4 linked regions of the Caenorhabditis elegans genome follow. The protein of the gene in region 2 interacts with the protein of the main gene of each other region in a pairwise test. Each region holds a gene or a part of one and is shown on either strand. Other genes may lie near its edges. The genes, in order: K07E1.1, klp-15, hrpr-1 and cpr-5.

The links.
Region 1: the proteins of klp-15 (region 2) and K07E1.1 interact in a two-hybrid assay, tested with the Caenorhabditis elegans proteins (one large-scale study listed by BioGRID).
Region 3: the proteins of klp-15 (region 2) and hrpr-1 interact in a two-hybrid assay, tested with the Caenorhabditis elegans proteins (one large-scale study listed by BioGRID).
Region 4: the proteins of klp-15 (region 2) and cpr-5 interact in a two-hybrid assay, tested with the Caenorhabditis elegans proteins (one large-scale study listed by BioGRID).

What each region holds. Positions count from the first base shown.
Region 1 is NC_003280.10:4,549,272-4,552,718, reverse strand, and holds K07E1.1 (putative inactive acireductone dioxygenase 2), read right to left. Parts: upstream 1,637-3,447; 5' UTR 1,619-1,636; coding exon 1,190-1,618; intron 857-1,189; coding exon 809-856; 3' UTR 542-808; downstream 1-541. UniProt on the Caenorhabditis elegans protein: Probable inactive acireductone dioxygenase.
Region 2 is NC_003279.8:5,576,551-5,581,026, reverse strand, and holds klp-15 (Kinesin motor domain-containing protein), read left to right. Parts: upstream 1-1,832; 5' UTR 1,833-1,845; coding exon 1,846-1,999; intron 2,000-2,130; coding exon 2,131-2,918; intron 2,919-2,965; coding exon 2,966-3,401; intron 3,402-3,448; coding exon 3,449-3,834; 3' UTR 3,835-3,957; downstream 3,958-4,476. Other genes in the region: ctnb-1 (Beta-catenin-like protein 1 N-terminal domain-containing protein), read right to left, coding at 1-237, 301-409, 454-657, 702-1,262, 1,305-1,361; rmh-1 (RecQ-mediated genome instability protein 1 homolog), read right to left, coding at 4,390-4,476.
Region 3 is NC_003279.8:12,059,753-12,066,794, forward strand, and holds hrpr-1 (RRM domain-containing protein), read right to left. Parts: upstream 5,146-7,042; 5' UTR 5,136-5,145; coding exon 4,980-5,135; intron 4,926-4,979; coding exon 4,479-4,925; intron 3,873-4,478; coding exon 3,696-3,872; intron 3,495-3,695; coding exon 3,359-3,494; intron 3,145-3,358; coding exon 3,014-3,144; intron 2,467-3,013; coding exon 2,024-2,466; intron 1,978-2,023; coding exon 1,747-1,977; intron 1,352-1,746; exon of another isoform or gene 1,258-1,351; intron 1,201-1,257; coding exon 1,086-1,200; 3' UTR 519-1,085; downstream 1-518. Other genes in the region: ksr-2 (Kinase suppressor of Ras B), read right to left, coding at 5-30; F58D5.2 (MARVEL domain-containing protein), read right to left, coding at 6,293-6,409, 6,453-6,578.
Region 4 is NC_003283.11:1,132,067-1,135,687, reverse strand, and holds cpr-5 (Cathepsin B-like cysteine proteinase 5), read left to right. Parts: upstream 1-1,651; 5' UTR 1,652-1,733; coding exon 1,734-2,191; intron 2,192-2,377; coding exon 2,378-2,619; intron 2,620-2,667; coding exon 2,668-3,002; 3' UTR 3,003-3,090; downstream 3,091-3,621. Other genes in the region: cpr-8 (Peptidase C1A papain C-terminal domain-containing protein), read right to left, coding at 524-659, 714-953, 999-1,062.

The sequences.
Region 1 (3,447 bases), on a different chromosome or scaffold from region 2:
ATAGGAAATTCGGTAGTAACAAGGAAATATTGGTACTCCATCTTTAAGAAATGAGTTGTTGAAGCCTAGAGCCTTCGAGTTTATGCCAAAATAAAATAGGTCGTTGGTAAGGCAGACGTAGGCTATAAAAACGTTTCAAATAAAATCACCTGTTTTGTGGCAATCTATGTTGGAGTTGACAAGACTTACAAGAGGGTGAATGCAAATCGAAGATATTTGCGAAAATTGTGATAAACTATTCGTAAAATTAAAAAAAAACAGTTGGTATACCTTAATTGAAATACCTTGAAACTACAGCAAATGCATTAAAAATGCCAACTATTGCCTCATCTCTCTTAACCCTTTTAACCCATGCTCTTATCACAATGATTCCGTGCATTTTTCAACTTTTCGAGTAAAACCTTACATCATTACCCCTGTGTACTCTATCTTTCACACACTATTACTCTTTTTCTTATCAATAAGTTCATCGATGAGACCATCTGCTACTGATCTCTTTTTGCTTTAGCAGTGCTGTTTCAATGTGCAAAGTTGAAAGACGAAGAAAATTGGTTTTTTATTGAGTTTTAGTTGCAAAAAAAAATAATAAAAAAGGAAAGAAAATATCGAGATAGAGATGAAGAGAGCTCTATTTACAAGACAGATGGGAAGGGAATTTTCAGAAGTTTTTAGTTTTTTTTTTACCGGGCCTGGTTTGAAAAGTTTACAAGACAATTTTTTTGTACAAACTGATTTGATTTCAGAGTTTGGAAATTTAGGAAAAAAGGTCAGTTAGGGATTTTATGGTGTTTTTGTGTTGGGCGAATCGTTACTCGGAATCTTCATCTTTGTAGAATCGACGCATTTTGACAAAGTTCTGAAAAAAAAACCAGGGTTTTTAAGTCTCTAAAAGTTTAAAAAATTCAAATTTGAAAAATCACATTTTCAGTATTTAGTTTTTTCTCAAAAAAAAAAGTTGAGACTAGCTTCTATAGTAGGCAGGCGCGTTTTCAGGGTCAGGCACCTGCCTGACATCTGCCTGCCTATCTGCCGCCGGACACTTTTTGGTTCCGCGCCGTACTAGACAGAAAGCGCAGCTCACGTCACGAGGTCGGTCTAGATAGACAGACGAAGCAGGCGTTTCGGCGCCTACATTAATGGCCTTTTCTCTATCATTTTTCAAAACTACCTCAAAAACTGTAGCACTTACATGTGGTGTGGTTGTGAATCTGAAGCAAGTGTTGGCTGGAATCAAAATCAAATCCCCGTACTCGCAGAAAATACGGACCCATTGACCATTCTTATCCTCCACATCATAATAAGCTGTACCCTCAATGATCATTCTTGCCTGCTCAAATGGAACCGATGATTCCTCGAATAACTCCTCGATCTTATCATCGAAGTTAGCAGTTGTCTCGGCGTCCAAAGTGAAAATATCCTCTTTTTTGAAACTATGCTCCAGCTTCAAGGTTGTCAATCGCTTGGCAAGAGCAACTTGATCAAGTGTGTCCAACTTCCAGTAAAGTGTTCCGGTTCTCTTGCTCAACTCATCTGGAGTGATCTTCTTTGGTGGGAAAAGATGATGTGGGAGTCTTGGGTCACCACATGGGTATGGCTCCATTTGCCAGATTTGCACCATTTTTAACTGGAAATCAAAACTGAAAGCAGGAGAAAATAAAGGAAAGAAGGGAAAAAACAAGTTTAAAAAAAAGAAAATCGAAAATTCACAAAAAAAAGTTTCAATTGGCAGAAAAGTTAAATTAGGTAAATTGTAAAAAAAGACCTGTAAAATGTCGGATGCTTGAAATATCACAAACAAACACTAACTAGAGACTGAACGTCGTGCGTCAGAAGGATAAAGCATAATTGCATTGATACAGTGAGAATTAAGAAATCAGTTACCTACGCGTGCTTTCTCCTAAACTGAACAGGCTAAACTTTCAGCAAATCAATGAACAATTTTCAAAAAACAACCTAGACTGTGCAAGAACCAAATATCAGATTTCCAGTCAGAATTAAATGAATAGGCGGTAGGCAGGTACCTACGCGTACCTGCCTACCAAAGCAGCCTTATCCGTGCCTACTGCTAACCTATGGCTCGGCTTGAACTTTTTTAGCTGGCGGCGTAAGCCTAAACTGTGAAAATACCAAATATTGACGTTTAAAATATACTGAATAGGCAATGAGCAGGTACGAAGGCCTGAATATGTCTCTGCCTACCAAGGCAGCTTCAAATGAAGCACTGAAACCATGTGCGATTCGAGATGAAAGGGTCAGATCAGAAGAGTAGTACGGGGGCGGAAGTAAGTCTACAAGTGGCCAGGTGGTTGTTGAAATGAAGAATATTGTCAAATTGAAGAGGCGACTTCAAGCCCGCCTTCTTTTTTCTTTATATTTCTTTTCCTCTCCATCTCGAATGGCAAATCGAACAAGTAGAAAGAGGAGGAGAATTTGAAATAAAAAATAGATAGGTCTACTCTCTTTTTATCATCACGGGTTGATATACAGTGGAGAACAAACCGAATGTGGTAACCTTGGCGGGGTAGGTAGGGGTAAAAAGAGATTGGCAACTTGATGATTGAGTTTTGTAAATTGGCTATTCGGCCGATTGCCGACACGTCCTCGACGACTTCATTTGAGTTATCAGTGGGAGTTGATAGGCTAAAGATATTGGTTCATTTGACAAGTAGGGTAATTTGAATTTGAAATCTCGTGTTCCATAAATGTTTAGAGTTTGTTCGTCGAACTCTATGCACTGATTTTTGATATATTTTTTTTGGGTATCAACACGTTTTTGGTGATACCTTCTGACTGATTTTACGATGAAAACAAGGATGTTTGGACGGAGAAAACATGCTGATTTGTGATATTATGGGTACTTGTTTTGCCTAGTTAAGGTCCAATGGCTACAAAAATACAGATGTACCCATCTAGGTAGTCACGGTAGATTAAAAATGGGCAGCTGACATCAATTCAGGCCGGAGTTAATCAGTTTATAATTTTTTCACAATTTATTCTGATTTTTATTATCTTTGAAGAAGCTAGAAGAAAATTATAGATTTTTTTATTCAAAGGTTCGTCTAGGTTAAAATATTTGGAAAATCATTATGGTTATGAATTCGGATAAGTTTTTGTGCCTACTTGCCTACCTACCTACCTACTTCTATTCGACTGCATTTTTAAAGTTATTGAACTAGAGCTCAGCAATTCAAAATTTGTTTTTATGTACATTATTTCATCGACTAAAAAATCATTAAAAAATTAGACAAGGTAGTAGGTATGCTCGTAGGCACAAAGTAGGCGCATGAAATTGCGTACCTTAATTCTTGTAAAGACAATATTTCGACAGAATTTTTTTTTAAATTTTTAGTTACAAAAGCGGTTTCAATTTTCAGTATTTTTTGAAATTTGAATAAAAATCATTTTGAAAAAAATTTAATGCAAAAATATTTAAAAAAAAACAAAAAT
Region 2 (4,476 bases):
CGTGTTCTTCATGTTCATCAGGTGTCGTATCCTTTCTTTTTGTCTTTGAAGGTGTTCTCATGAATAACGGGAAAATTGTTCTCAATCCGAGCATTTCGACAAGTTTATTGCAATTTTCGATTCCCTCGTCTCCTGATGTTGCATGGTTCAGAACTTTCAGAGCACTTTGTCTTGCTTGTTTCTTCTCTCGGAGCATCAAATTCATCAATTGAAGACCTTCTCCGTCGAGGAACTTTTCTGAAAACATTTATTTTGAACAAGAGCAATTTTTTTGGTGTTTATATTCAAAAAAATTCGTACTTCGATTAGCCGGATGCATAAGTGCGGCACAAAGTGAGTTGAATAGATTTTCCATGTATTCTCGTTCGTCTACATTTGCTGGATCGTTCTTTTTGTACACAGCAATGGTCTTAAAAGTTCAATTTATTCTTGATACTTTGTTTGGCTACTCACTCTCAATAAAATATCGATGCCATCAATTTTCTCTGTCAGCTTTGCCTTTGCAGTATCAGAAGTCTGCAATATGACTGAAAGAAGTTCCGAAGCGTACATCTTATTCGCATCAAATGCACCTTTCTGAAAGCATCTTTTCAGAAGCCAAACCGTGAATCCGTGCTTTACGCATTCTTCAGTAATGTCATCGCGGAAACCAATCATCTGAAAATATATTGTTTTGTTTTTCAAATATCGATTTTTCTTACATTGTCCACAACTCCGAGTGCATTATGGACGCCATCCGCTTCATCTTTGACGCTTTCATCGAGCCTCTCTACGCATGCTAACAAAGTTGTGATAATCGATCCAGACACAAGACTTTCAATAAGTTCAGCTGCTCCATCTTCTCCTTCGTTCATCACATCATCGTCTGTAAGTTCTCTCAAGAGACTAAGTGTTGCACACACAATATCAGTATTCTCGTGTCCTAATAATTGAAGAAGAATTTCAACTCCGTTGACTTCAACAAACGATCCATAAAGGTCTGGTTGAGAAGCCAGACTATGCATTTCTTGAATTGCCTTGTCTAATTCAATTTCCGATTCCATGAATTTCTGAGCATCATCTGGATTTTTAACTCTTTGTTCTCGATTTAATCGCATCTTTTTGTCAAGTTGAATAACAAGTTTCTTAACTTGCACATCGTCGAGAGCCACATAATTTGATTGATCGGCTTCCAAAGCCGCAAGAATATCTTCTGGTTTTGGCTGGCCAGCTTGAGATGAAGAAGAAGCACTATCGTCAAAACGAGATTTCTTTCTTGCTGGCTGTAAACTATTTATAATCAAAAAAATTTAATATCAATTTACCTGATACAAAGAAGATGTCGATGATTTGATAATCTCTGTTACATCGATAGAAGTCATCTGGAAACAATCATTTACCAACCTATATTTTTAAAAAACCACAGAAAAATCAAAATATTGAAGAAAGTGTATAAAAATTTTCGCAAGCAAATATTTTCAAATTTTTTTTTTGCAATTACTTTGGTGTAGATATACGGTAAACAAGGCGCGCACCGGAATATCGGAGTGTCGCTCACATTATAATTTCTAGACCTGCATTTTATATATTTGTTTGTATAACCTGATATCAGTGCAATTATGGATAAGCCTTCTGTGTTATAGTTATAAATAATTTTTACGGCATTCTTTATGCCTTTTGACAACAAAATAATTATATCCGACAATTCTGGATGAGCTCAACATGATATAAATTTTTGATCTAATACCGTAGTTGACTACGGTAATCCATTCGATTTGGCGGGAATTTTCAGAGGCGGAGTTCAACTTTGAGCGGGAAAATGTCAATGAAGGGGCTGATTTCCTCATTTTTGTCCCAAATTTCGCGATGAATGTCGCTCGAAGAAGAAGTGGCCTGTTTCGGTCGACTATCGGAGCAACGCCGAAGATCACAAGAGGACGTGCTGCCGCGCCATCCACCAAAGAAGCCAATTCAACAACAATCCCAAGACAGTCGGCTCCTGGAGGAATAACGATTGGAGGTAAATTTGTCATTTGTGTTTTTAAATAACTTCCTCGTGATTTCAAAGTGTTCACACTTCTAAATAAAACATGTTTTTGTTTTTGTTTAAAACCTTTTTTGTTAACAACTACTTTAATTACGAGTTTTCAGCCGCTGCTCGTCGTCCTCCGTCTCGTTTGCCTACCCCCACAACGCCTGCAACTGGTAGAGCATCGTTGCCAGAACGATCAGCGATGGCCAAACCAGCGTCGTGTTCCCGTCCCATACCAACGATGCAATCCACCGCGAGCCGTATTTCCACACTGACGGCAGCTTCTACGTTTCGACAACTTCGCACAGGTCGTCCACCGCCACCATCCACTCAACGCTCAACTGCGACTTCTTCCCTGAAGCCGTCGGTGACAAGAGCCCGACCAGTGGCACAGAAGCCTATTCTCCCTTCTAAGATGGCGCTTCTTGAAGAGAAAATTGCGCAGCTCGAGAGTGCGATGGCTGAGGCTACCGACTTTGCTGAACATCAGAAGAGCAAGATCCAAATCCTGGATGGCAAACTTGAAGGAGCGGATCGCAAGCTGATTTCACTGCAAGATCAATTGAGCACGCTGAAAGAAGTCAACAAGGCGAAAGTGGAGGAGTGCGAGGATTATCGTGTGCACAACAACGATCTCCGGGATCTGCTCAACGAAAAGGAAGCTGAGTTGAGAAAGTTGCACAACGATGTTGTCGATTTACGCGGTCAAATTCGTGTGGCTGTTCGCGTTCGGCCGTTGATCAAATCTGAAGCCGACGCCTCGAGTTCTGCAATTGAGTATCCGGCTATCGATACCATCAGAATCAATGAAGGCTCGAAGCCTGGAATTGTGGTCAAATTCGAGAAGGTTTTCACGCCAGTCTTCTCGCAGAAGGAAGTGTTCGCGAACGTCGAGGAGTTCATTCGGGTTAGTTTCAAAATATAATATTAATAATTGAAAATTGATAATTTCAGTCGTCACTGCATGGGTACAACGTCGGATTGATTGCCTATGGACAAACCGGAAGTGGCAAAACTCACACGATGCGAGGAGGAAATGGTGAAGAGGAAGGAATCATCCCGAGAGCAGCTGCATTTCTGTTCGCCGAATCCAGAAAGCTCGAGTCACTTGGATGGAAATTCGACTTCTCGTTGTCTTTCCTAGAAGTCTACAACAACGTGGCATACGACCTTCTCAGTGACCGCGCCGTTGTCCAACTTCGTTTGAACGATCAAACGGTTTCCATGATTGGGCTCTCCGAGCACACGATTTCCAATGTCTCGGATGTGGCTAGACTTCTTCGTGTAGCAGACGGTGGCAGGAAGACGGCGGCGACAAAGTGCAATGAGAGCTCGTCTCGTTCGCACGCCGTTTATATGTGGAAGATTACAGCTCATCAGCCATCAACTGGTAACTTTCGAAAATAAAAATAATTAATTCACAATATTGATATACAGGAATTTCAACATCGTGCCAGCTCAAACTTGTGGATCTCGCAGGATCCGAACGTGCCAAGGAGTCTGGTGTCAGTGGCGACCAGTTCAAGGAGATGACTAATATCAACCAGTCGTTGTCTATCCTTCAGATGTGCATCAGCCAGCAAAGATCCCAGAAGGGACATGTTTCATATCGCGACAGCAAACTGACACAAGTGCTGATGGACTGCTTGGGACGTGGCAACTCGAAGACTATGGTTGTGGTCAATCTCAATCCATGCAACGAGCAAGCGACAGAGTCCAAGAGAAGCATCGAATTCGCCTCAAAGATGCGCAGTACTAACATCGGATCGGCCGTGCAGCAACGGACTCTCTTGGGTGACGTGTCCCAGATGTCTATGAACTAGACATATAATTCTATTCTAACATTTCATGTAAAATAACGTTATTTTTATTGCCTTATGCAAACCTTTTATACTGATGTAACCTAAATATTTCGATCATTAACAAAATGAACGAATTTCAATTTTACTTTGCGTTTTTTGAGTTTTAATCGTCTGTTTCAAAACAAAGGGAGATCCCGATAGGAAAAATATAGTCCGGTCTAAATGCTGTTGATTGGGTTATAAATACATTGTTTTGAGCTTTATGAGAATATTACATTTCTTACTGTAGTATGTATGTCTCGACCCGACGAACTTTTGATGAATTCGAAAATGGCATGACCCTTTAAAGAGTACTGTAGTTTCAAACTCTCGTTGTATCGAAAACTGTACAGTTTTCCATACAGTTTGTTTAAATTTATGTTTTTTGTTACATTTCTGTTTTAAAGAAATTTTAACGAAAGAAAAAGCTTAAAACAGTTGTATTGTATTTGGAAACAACAAAAAAACAAGAACAATTAAATAATACATGACTATATTGTGGTACACGTGAATTCAGGTAGCAAGCAATAGAAATAATTACAAAATATTGAGAGCATCAGAAATCGTTTTCACGTCAAGAATGAGCGGAATTTGGTTACGCTCTGGTGAAACCTCAACCCATAA
Region 3 (7,042 bases), 6.5 Mb from region 2:
CTACCGCTTTTTCTTCTTTTCATCGCTCATCTGACGAAGGTTCTCCCTGCAAAAAAAGATATATTTAAAAATTAAATTTGAAAATCGTGAAATTTAGGTGTTGCGGGGGCGTGGCGACGTTTGCAAACTTGCGGCGCGGTTTTTTTTTGATTTTTCAGCGATTATTTTAGAAAAAATTCACTTTTTTCTGCATTTTTTTGTAAAAAAATTGAAGATTTTGAGTGAAAAAGGCATTTATTTTTTGGTTGAGGCTCGAAAATTTTACATTAATTTTTTTTTTCTGACAAAAACTGGATAAAAGTATTAATTTTTTGTAAAAATCCAAAAATATTTTATATTTTCCAAATCCTGAAAATCCCAAAAAAAACCACGCCGCAGGCTTGCAAACGACGCTCCGCCCTTTTTTCCCTGCCGCATTGCAAAATTCTCCGAGCTTTTTGTAGAAAACTGCGAAAAAAAAGATCTGAAACAGAGAAATCAAATTTGGGCAAACTTCCGAAAGAAAGAGTAAAAATTTTGAACGAAATTTTTTTTTATTTTATTTTAAAATTGTGTGTGCGTCCAATTTTCACAGCAAAAGGTGAAAATTTCGAGACACAGAAAAAAAAAACGGAATAAAACGGTTTCAAATGGAGAGAGAGGGAGAGGGTGAAGGGAATAGAGAAACAGAGAGAGAGAGAGATACGTTAAAAACCATTTTTTGCAAAGCTCAATATCAAAATCTCTATTACAATTAATGAGAAAATACAACTTTTCAGAATGGTTTTTGTCACTTTTTGAGGTCGTGAGAGATTAACGGGTTGGGTTGAGGAGAGAGAGGGAGTGGAAAAATTTTTTAAAAAATTCGAAAAAGAAATGAGGGTAATATGTATATAAATTATAGAATTTCGATTTTTCGCACCACTTTCTAAAGTCGAACGATTTTTGAGATCAAAACCATTCGAAAAACGAAACAAAAAAATTTAGAAAAATAATGCAAAATGCAAAATTTTTGGTTGAAAAAGTTTAAAATTTTTTAAAAAATGGGGGGAGTGAAAAATAATTTAAAAAACAAAGAAAAAGTGAGTTTCTGCCGGGGGTGCAATTTAGAAAGTGCTCATGTTGACGTCAGCCGAGAAATCAGGCTTTCCGTTGTCTCGTTTCGATGCTGGTCCCCCTCGTCCGTCTCCCGGGCGCTTTCCTCGACCGCGTCTGTTTGCCCTGTAACCTCAGACATTTATTAGGATTATTCTTGCACAATTTTATAAAGATATATGGAGAATTCTGCGCCAGTGGGGGGGGGGGGGGGGGGGGGGGAAATTGATTTGAAAAACACAAAAAATTAATTTTGAACTACCCTTGTTCAATAGAGCGCGCTTGTATTTTTTATTTATTTTAATGCATTTTTAGTTTATTTTTCTCATTTTCTACTGATTTTTTATATTTTCAGTGTATTTTTATTGGAAATTTGAAGAAACGTTTGCAAGATTAATGCAAATTTTTCACAATAAGGCAACTTTATGGTTACGTACCCATACAGATGCTCTCTAGTGAAAAATTTGCATTTTTCTTGAAATTTTCTTCAAATTTCCAGTGAAAATTTACAGAAAAATCATTGGAAAATGTGAGAAACGAATTTTTTAAAAATTACAAAAAATGCAAGCGCGCTCTATCGAACAAGGGCAGTTCAAAATTAATTTTTTTGTAATTTTTTAGACAAATTCCGTCCACTGGCGCAGCAGCACTCCACCACACTTCAAAACTTACATTCCACCGCGTCCAGGTGGTCCACCACGGAATCCTCCTCCACCGCCCATTCCTCCTCTCGGCGATCCACGCATTCCTCCTCTAAATCCACCGCCTCCGTAGGCTCCAAAATCTCCATAGGCTCCCGGGCCACCGTATCCACCACCGTAACCTCCTCCATATGCACCATATCCCATGTCACCACCGTAGCCACCTCCCCAAGGCATTGGCATGTCGTAGCCATTGTTGAAGCTGAAAATGTGTTGATTTTTCATAGTTTTTCACTGAATTAACTCACTGATTTGGATAATAACCTCCTGGTCCAGCATTTCCACCCCACTGACCACCTCCACGTTGTCCACCACGTTGTCCATGATTTCCAGCACCACCACCAGCTCCACCGAATCCACGCCCACGCATCACTGGCTTCTTCTTCTTCTCCTGTGGTGGCTTGGCGAGTGAAGCTTCAACAACAGTTCCCTCGAGCTCTTTTCCATTCCATTCTTCCATTGCTTTCAGGCAATCGTCACGCTCGTTGAAGTGGATGAACGCGTAGTCCTTCACCTTCTTAACTCTATCCAGACTTGCGTATTCCTTGAAGAGCTCGTTCAGCTTCTCCTCGGTCACTGCTTCCTTGATGTTTCGGATGTACAGCACCTTCACCTTCGACATGGTATCCTCGTCTGGCTCTTCTTGATGCTCAGCCCAATCCACGTAGACATCAGCGTTGAATGGACGTATCTGGAAAGAATATTTTTATTTTTGCTATTTTCAGAGAAAAATCGTGTAGATTTACGCAGCTCGTGTAGTTCTCGAGGAGAAAATTGTCTGTTTTGGAACGTTTTTTTTTACCTTTTAAATATAAAAATGTATAGTTTTATAAGTTACAATGCCTCAAAAATCAAGAAGTACATAGATTTTCACTTAAAATACTGTATTCTAGACGAAAATCGATTTCTCTTGACTCGTATGCTCTTTTTGGCTATAATGCTTCTTTTGTGCCATTTTCGCTGCCTTTTTACCTTTAAAATGGCTAATTTTATAGCATTTTAGGTGAAAAATTGATTTTTCTCGATTTTCACATAAAGCACTTTGAATTAGCCGCTTAAAGGGGGAAAATGTCCCAGAAATCAAGTATTTTCACTTTTTAAGTCGCTAATTCCAATTGTTTTACGTGAATATCGAGAAAAATCAATTTTTCACTTAAAATGCTATAAAATTAGCCATTTTAAAGGTAAAAAGCCAGCGAAAATGCAGCGTAAATCCTCCAAATCATCCAAAAATTCACCTTATGCTGTGCAATCTTTCTCTTGATATCAGAAGCCGTCTTGTGATCGATGAAATCAACGAAACAGAATCCACGATTCTTTATTTTCTCATTGTCCGGCACCGAGTAGACGATAACGTCAACTACGCCCTCTGAAATGTTAAATTATTGCTGAAAGTGGCTAGATTGAAAATAATAATAATAATAGTAATATTGATTAATAAAAAAGACCACACGATCACAATAGAAAAAATAAATAGGATACAGAAAGAAGAAAAAAAATCGATTTTTTCTTCGCTTTTTTCACTTTTTTTGAATCTTTATTGCTTGAAAATCGAGAAAATGTTTCGAAAATGGGTTCTGTACCTGCATGAGTCTTGAGCTCTTCAAGAATTTCGTCTTTAGATTTCGTCTTCGGAATATTGCCAATAAAAAGGCGAGTGTTAGCGATCGAAACGTTCACTTTGAGTGGTTTTCCAGTCGAAATTTCGTGGCCGTCATACTAAAGTAAAGAAAATGGATGAAATGCGTTGTGATGTTGGTTTTTAAATGGTTTTTTGGCTCGGAAGGCGGGAATTCTCTCCAATTGTGTCCAAAATGCAATAATGAATAAACACAACGCATTGGGAAGCAATTTTTCAATGGCTAGAGGCATCACCCTACCCTACTGCTCTGAAATTGCATGGGGAAAGCCTAAACTTACAGTCTTGGCGGCAGCCGCAGCGTCTTCCTTATTACAATACGTGACAAAAGCATATCCACGGGAAGCACCGGACATTGGATCCATCATAAGACGGAGATCCCAGATTTTTCCGGATTTCTCGAAGAGGGGAACCAGGGTGTCTTCGAAGACGTCCGTTGGAATGTGTCCGACGTAGATCTGAAAATGGTTGAATAGGTGAGGGTCTCATAAAAAGAGAATTCGCAAAACTGGGATCTGGCAGCGGTAGTTTTCTTTTAAAGCCATTTTTCTCGGATGCGCGTTTTTTTTCGAAATTTTAATCCGAAAAAAGGCACGAAGCCTCATGGGCACGGTCTAGAGAAAGCGAAACGTCGGTTGCAAGTTGCAAGTCTGCGGCGCGGTTTTTCGGTCTTTTTGCTTTTTTTCAGTTTAGCGATAGTAATTTTCCGCTAACTTTTTCAACTTGTAGGTTAAAGCTGAGCTATTTTTGATGAAAAATGGCCAAGTTTTCACAGTTTTTACCGTTAGAGCGTCTGAAGGAACTCTGAAATCTATAGAAACTTGGCATTGTTTTCTGGGCGAAAACGTGGTCATTTTCCTTTAAAAATAGCTGAAAAAGGAAATAATCAAGCAAAATCGATAAACTTTGAACAGAAACGGCAAAAATTGACGGAAAAGCTCTATCGCACACATAAAGAAAGGCAAAACAACGCGCCGCAGAGCATCGTTGTAACGTATTTCTTCGGGAAAATTGGCGTTAAAGCCGCTTCCAGATCTCATTTTCGTGGTGCCTCTCGCTTCTACCTCGTGTCCCTGTCCAGCTGGCCCTGTAGCAGGTCCTTCCCAATCTGGTGGAGGTCCTCCGAACTTTCTCTGTCCAATTGTGACTTCAATGGTGTATCCGGTGGTTTCCAGTAGGTTCTTCAACGCGGCCAACTCTGGTCCATTGATAAGCTTTCCGGATGTTACGGCAGCTGCTCCCTGTTGACGGCACCGATCTTTGAATGAGCGGATCAGTGAGGTGACGTAAAGCGATTTGGTGGCAACTCCGAAGAGTTCAGAGTTCTTGATTTCGGTAAAGATGAATTTTGCCTGATCGAGGTTCACCGAGTTGATGATGTCGACTGCACGATCATCGAGATCCTCTGGGCCGAGAAGTCCGGACTCGTAGATTTCGCACACGACGTCGGCGAGGGCTGGCTTCATTTTAAGCCCGATAAGCTTCTTGTAGTTCTCGGTCTCGGCGTATTTCTGGAAATTCAACGATTATTACTGATTAAGTGCGCCTTTCTAGATAGAACATACGCTTGGCTCCTCGGTCTTTCCATTTTCAGCCGGCTTATCTCCGTTGGTAACAACTTCTGCAACTACTTCTGCGACAGGAGCAGCCTCTTCGGTCTTGGCTTCAGTCGTTGTTTCTGGAGCCTCCTCCTTTACTTCCTGTTTGATTTCCTCACTCATGGCGGGAGATCTGCAAAAATCGATAATCTAAATACGATAAATTGCTCTGAAAATAGCAAAAAACTGTGAAAAATTTGATGTTCCAGCAGATTTTAAAGATTCAAATCAATTTAATTTTCAAGCCTATTTTCACAAATTTACTGGAATTTTGATTGAGAATATGAGTGAAATAAACTCTGAAATTAAGAAAAAGTCTAGATAAAGCAGAAACTGATAGAAAAATTAAGAAAAACCAGTAAAAAATCAGGAAATTGTTCAAATATTACATTGCACATGAAATACATCGAATTTCGGAGTTTTACTCAATTTTTTGAAGGATTTTATGTGAAAATTCCGGATTTTCAAGGTAATTTAACATTCTAAGAGGTTTAAAATCGTGAAAAACGAAGGATAATGCACAAAAAAGATGACGAAGACGTTCAAAATTCGAATCGAACGGCGGCAAAAACAAAAATCGAAGCGGCGAGCGTCTTCGGTACGGGATATCTTTCACACTTTGGGTAATGTCCCTTTAACTTACACCGTCTGCGTCTCTCACCCCATACCACACATCGCAGCACATCTCTCGTCGGGCGGAGCGGCCGCGTCGCGGTTTACTTGTGAACAGATGGTGTTCATTTGCACGAAAAGAGCAGCAGAAGACGTTGAATGGAACGGGAAGGGACGAGGATGTACTCTTTGAATGGAGAAAGGGAGAGATATCATGGGAAATCGAGAGGATCAGAGAGCATAGAGATTGAAAAGGACGTTTTGGATAACCATGAATGGTGTCCAGCTGCACCGGTGGGCTTCATCACTGAATACTAATTTAAAGGGACCTAGAAATAAGTTAGAGAAAGAGGCAAATAAATTCATAAAATTTTAATCTCGGTGGGAACTTTCTAGTACTTCAGTGAAAATCAAAAAGGTAAGACTCTTTCAAAGTCTTTCAAAAAACGTGTAAAATAAAATGACATTGAAAAGCTGACAGTGCCAGCGGTCTCGTGGTGTAGTGGTTATCACATCTGTCTAACACACAGAAGGTCGGTGGTTCGAGCCCGCCCGAGATCAGTCTTATTTTGCAGGTAAAAACTATTTATTTATGATAAAAATGAGGTATATTTAGATGAGAAAGACCATGGATTTGTTCAATTATTTATTTTTATTATTTTGATGATTTATTGAGGAAGAACTGAAGATGTCGGTTGTGGTGGTCTCCAGCTACACCGGCGAGCATCATTGAGCAAGACACAGATTTCTATGAAATAAAGAGCCGAACACAAGAATAGAGCAGCCTAAAAAAGAGCTCCGAGTCTTAGAATTTTATAAGTTACTTACCGTAGCCAGTGCTGGCATCGTAGCCCATTCGGGATTCATTTCAGCCCAATGAGCCGCACAAAACACCCACATCAAGATGGCAGACACAAGGAGGCCCACCGAAACGAGCACATACAGAAGAGCTTCCTGAAAAATAAAGAAAAACTATTTTTTATTTGCATTTAGAATAGGGAAATCGAATTTTACCTTAAAAAATTAAACAATTCGAAAACCCAAGGTTGTGCTCTGAGGAGAAAATGCGGGTTTTCCGACTTTTTTCAGAGAAAAATTCAAATTCTACACATTTTAAATGCATTCTATCACAAAATTGAAGTAATTTACATTTAAATGTAAGTTTATATATAAAAATGCGAATTTTTCGCCAAATTCTCATCAGTGCGCAAGTGCAGGGTAGTGCAATTGTGCTCTGCCAAGAATATTTGATTTTCTCACAGTTTCTAGTGTTTTTTTTTGTAGAAAAAAAGGTTACTGAGGAAGTGTCAGTTCACATCTCGAACTATCTTGGCTTGATCTTTCTGACCGGTTCAACGTTCTTTTTGTTGAACCAGGCTTATTCTTTTTAGGGAATAAACCCACTGCCTGACCCGCCT
Region 4 (3,621 bases), on a different chromosome or scaffold from region 2:
CCCCTACAATGTTATAATATAAATAATTAAAACAAAATTAAAGTATAAAAAATGTAGGAAAAACATTTTTTTTTTGGTCGACTTCCAAAATTATGAGTGGCAAAAACTGAGTAATTGTCACTTTCTGACAGTAAATAAAAAAAGTTCAAAAATTTTTCGAAACGTTTTATTATGATATTCGGTCATTTTGGCACCATATAAATAGTTTTTAACATTTTCCCCACTGGCGCTACTCCACCTTTAATAAAAAGCACGTCTGCGTTTAATCAAACAATTTTGCAGTTGTTGCACTTTTTTCTCAAATTTGCATCACGCGCCGCAAGAAAATTGATTAAATATACATTTCTCAATGTTGAAAAATTTACGAGCTTTAAAAATTTTGAAAGTTGATAAGATAGAGACTTTTCTTCGCAAACTTTTGTTGGTAGGCAGACACGCCTCCAGGTTTGCCTGCCTGCCTGCCATCCGCTTCTAAATTTTGACAGGATCACTGGACCTGTAGAGACGTGCAACTACACCTCACCCTTCCCCACAGGAAAACATTCCCGTGCAACAACTCAAAAGTTCTTCAGCGGATAAAATGGTATTTTTAAATCCTCCGGAATTAATGCAAAGCCTGTCAGACATTGATTCGGCTGCTGCGAACGCCCAACTTGTCTCTGAAAAATTTAGGCCATTACCGTTCATATTCTGGAATTTAAAGCAAAACTCACTACATTCTGAAATATCGTTGATCTGTGGAATTGACATGCACTCCGGCCAACGTTCTCTCGCATCAAATGAAGGAGATAGATCGGAATTTGCTTGTGACACCCCGAAATTCTGGATTTTGAATCCTATAGTTGCAGCGTCTGTGACAAGAGTTTTCAGCATAGAATTCCGGCTCAGAGCAGGAATCCCAGCAGTCCAAGTAGTTTTTTGCGAATTCACATAATGAATTATCCGGTCAATTTCTGAAAATATTGCTTTCAATCTAGAAATACAATTTGTAAAAAAACCTGAAGGTGGTACTCCATCGGCTTGAAATAGGACTCCGATCAGGCAAATCAATATTTTCCGCATTTCGGGTTAGAAATGATTGATTCAATGCTTTCTTATCATTGATTTGAAGTTGCAAAGTTCAGAAAATTTACATCATATTATCCAAAAAGAAATGCAAGCGGAGCTTATTCGGTGAACAATGATTAACAAAATTGCTTCAAAGTAAATTTTATGCAGCTCTACTAAAATTCATGGATTTTCATAAAATCTGCTTTAATAATTCTGGACTAGGCTTATGCCTACTTTTAAGCTTATTCTTAGGCTTAGGCTTGTGCTTCGGCTTAGGTTTATGCTTAGGCTTAGGCTTAGGCATAGGCTTAGGCGTAGGCTTAGGCTTAGAGTTAGGCTTAGGCGTACGCTTTGGTTTACGCTTATGCTTATGCTTATGCTTTTGCTTATGCTTATGCTTATGCTTATGCTTAGGCTCAGGCTTAGGCTTAGGCATTAAGCTTAGGTATTAGGCTCATCCCTAATTCCTAATCCCCTTAGAATTTTTACAGTATTAAAAAATGTTTACATCAATGATCTATTCCGACAAGTGAAAGTATATTTGGCGCGCGACTCATTTACGTCACATTCCTTTTAATTTTTAATTCTTAAAAAAGATACTGATAAAATTAACTGATAAGAATGATGCGTACCGACTACTTAATGAGCATTAGACGCGAACCTTCGCAGACACTTCTCTCATAATGTGGAAGCTCTCCGCTATTCTTCTCGTGGCTGCTGCCTCGGCTGTGGTGATTCCTGGACACCGTGAAGCCCCAGCTCTCACTGGACAAGCTTTGATCGACTATGTCAACTCTGCCCAAAAGCTTTGGACCGCTGGACATCAAGTCATTCCAAAGGAGAAGATCACCAAGAAGCTGATGGATGTTAAGTATTTGGTGCCACACAAGGATGAGGATATTGTCGCTACTGAGGTCTCCGACGCTATTCCAGACCACTTCGATGCTCGTGATCAATGGCCAAACTGCATGTCCATCAATAACATTAGAGATCAATCTGACTGCGGTTCCTGCTGGGCGTTCGCCGCTGCTGAAGCTATCTCCGACAGAACATGCATTGCCTCCAATGGAGCCGTTAACACTTTGCTCTCATCTGAAGATCTGCTCTCGTGCTGCACCGGAATGTTCAGCTGCGGAAATGGGTAAGGCTCCGATTCTGATTTGAAAACTACGCGTCTACACAAAAACGATAAGAATCGACAAATTCCGTTTATGACAAAATGATCTCTAGCGCCGTAGTTTTAATCTCCAAAATCGAAAGTTCTTGCTGATAAGAACACAGTGATCGGCATGGACTCACAGTTGCTTTCAAAACCATTTTTTTCCAGTTGCGAAGGAGGTTACCCAATCCAGGCATGGAAGTGGTGGGTCAAGCACGGTCTCGTCACCGGAGGATCCTACGAGACCCAGTTCGGATGCAAGCCATACTCGATCGCTCCATGCGGCGAGACTGTGAACGGCGTCAAGTGGCCAGCATGCCCAGAAGACACCGAGCCAACTCCAAAGTGTGTCGACTCCTGCACTTCCAAGAACAACTACGCCACCCCATATCTTCAGGATAAGCACTTTGGTGAGTTTACACGTGTAAGCGGCGCTGGTTAACACTATGAAGTTCTAGGATCTACCGCCTACGCCGTCGGAAAGAAGGTCGAGCAAATCCAGACCGAGATTCTTACGAACGGACCAATCGAGGTTGCCTTCACCGTCTACGAGGACTTCTACCAATACACCACTGGAGTGTACGTACACACCGCCGGAGCCTCCCTCGGAGGACACGCCGTCAAGATCCTCGGATGGGGAGTCGACAACGGAACCCCATACTGGCTTGTCGCCAACTCGTGGAACGTCGCCTGGGGAGAGAAGGGATACTTCCGTATCATTCGTGGACTCAACGAGTGTGGAATCGAGCACTCGGCTGTTGCCGGAATTCCAGACTTGGCTCGTCACAACTAAGGCTGCTATCGGAACTTTTTTAAAATAATTCTTCAGGGAGATTTCCATGTGTATATTATGAAATGATGATAAATATTTTATAATTTGCTATGATATTATTTAAAGTATAACCTCGTTTTTCAGTATCTCTGTAATTGGCTGAAAAAAATTGGCCGGTCGAACTTTTACGAGAAGGGTGGGAGACGGAGCGGATTTGCTCAAAACCGGCCTGACGGCAGCAGACAAACCGCGGACTAGGGAACCCGTGCAGGCTGCCATGTTGCGGACACCTTGCGGCTACCTCCGCCTGCCACGCGCCGCGCCTTTTGTATAATATGGCTCTGAACCCAAAAAGTGAGCGTTGCGTAGACCCCAAATCTTTGATTTCATGCCTGTAGAATTGAAGCGAGGAGGCCCGCTTTCGGTGATCAGGTGTCAGGCAGGCCATCAGACTTTGAACCCGCGCCTGCCTCTTATCGAAACTACAGACGGCTAACTGGCGAACAAAAAGAACAGCCCGGAATGGTCATTGGGCCGATTTTCAGTTAGCCTGTGCTCTTTATTCGAGAAATTATTTGTGAAATTCGCTCTGATTCACTTCCAAACATTTATAGTTATAGGCGGTTTAAATCAAATCTAT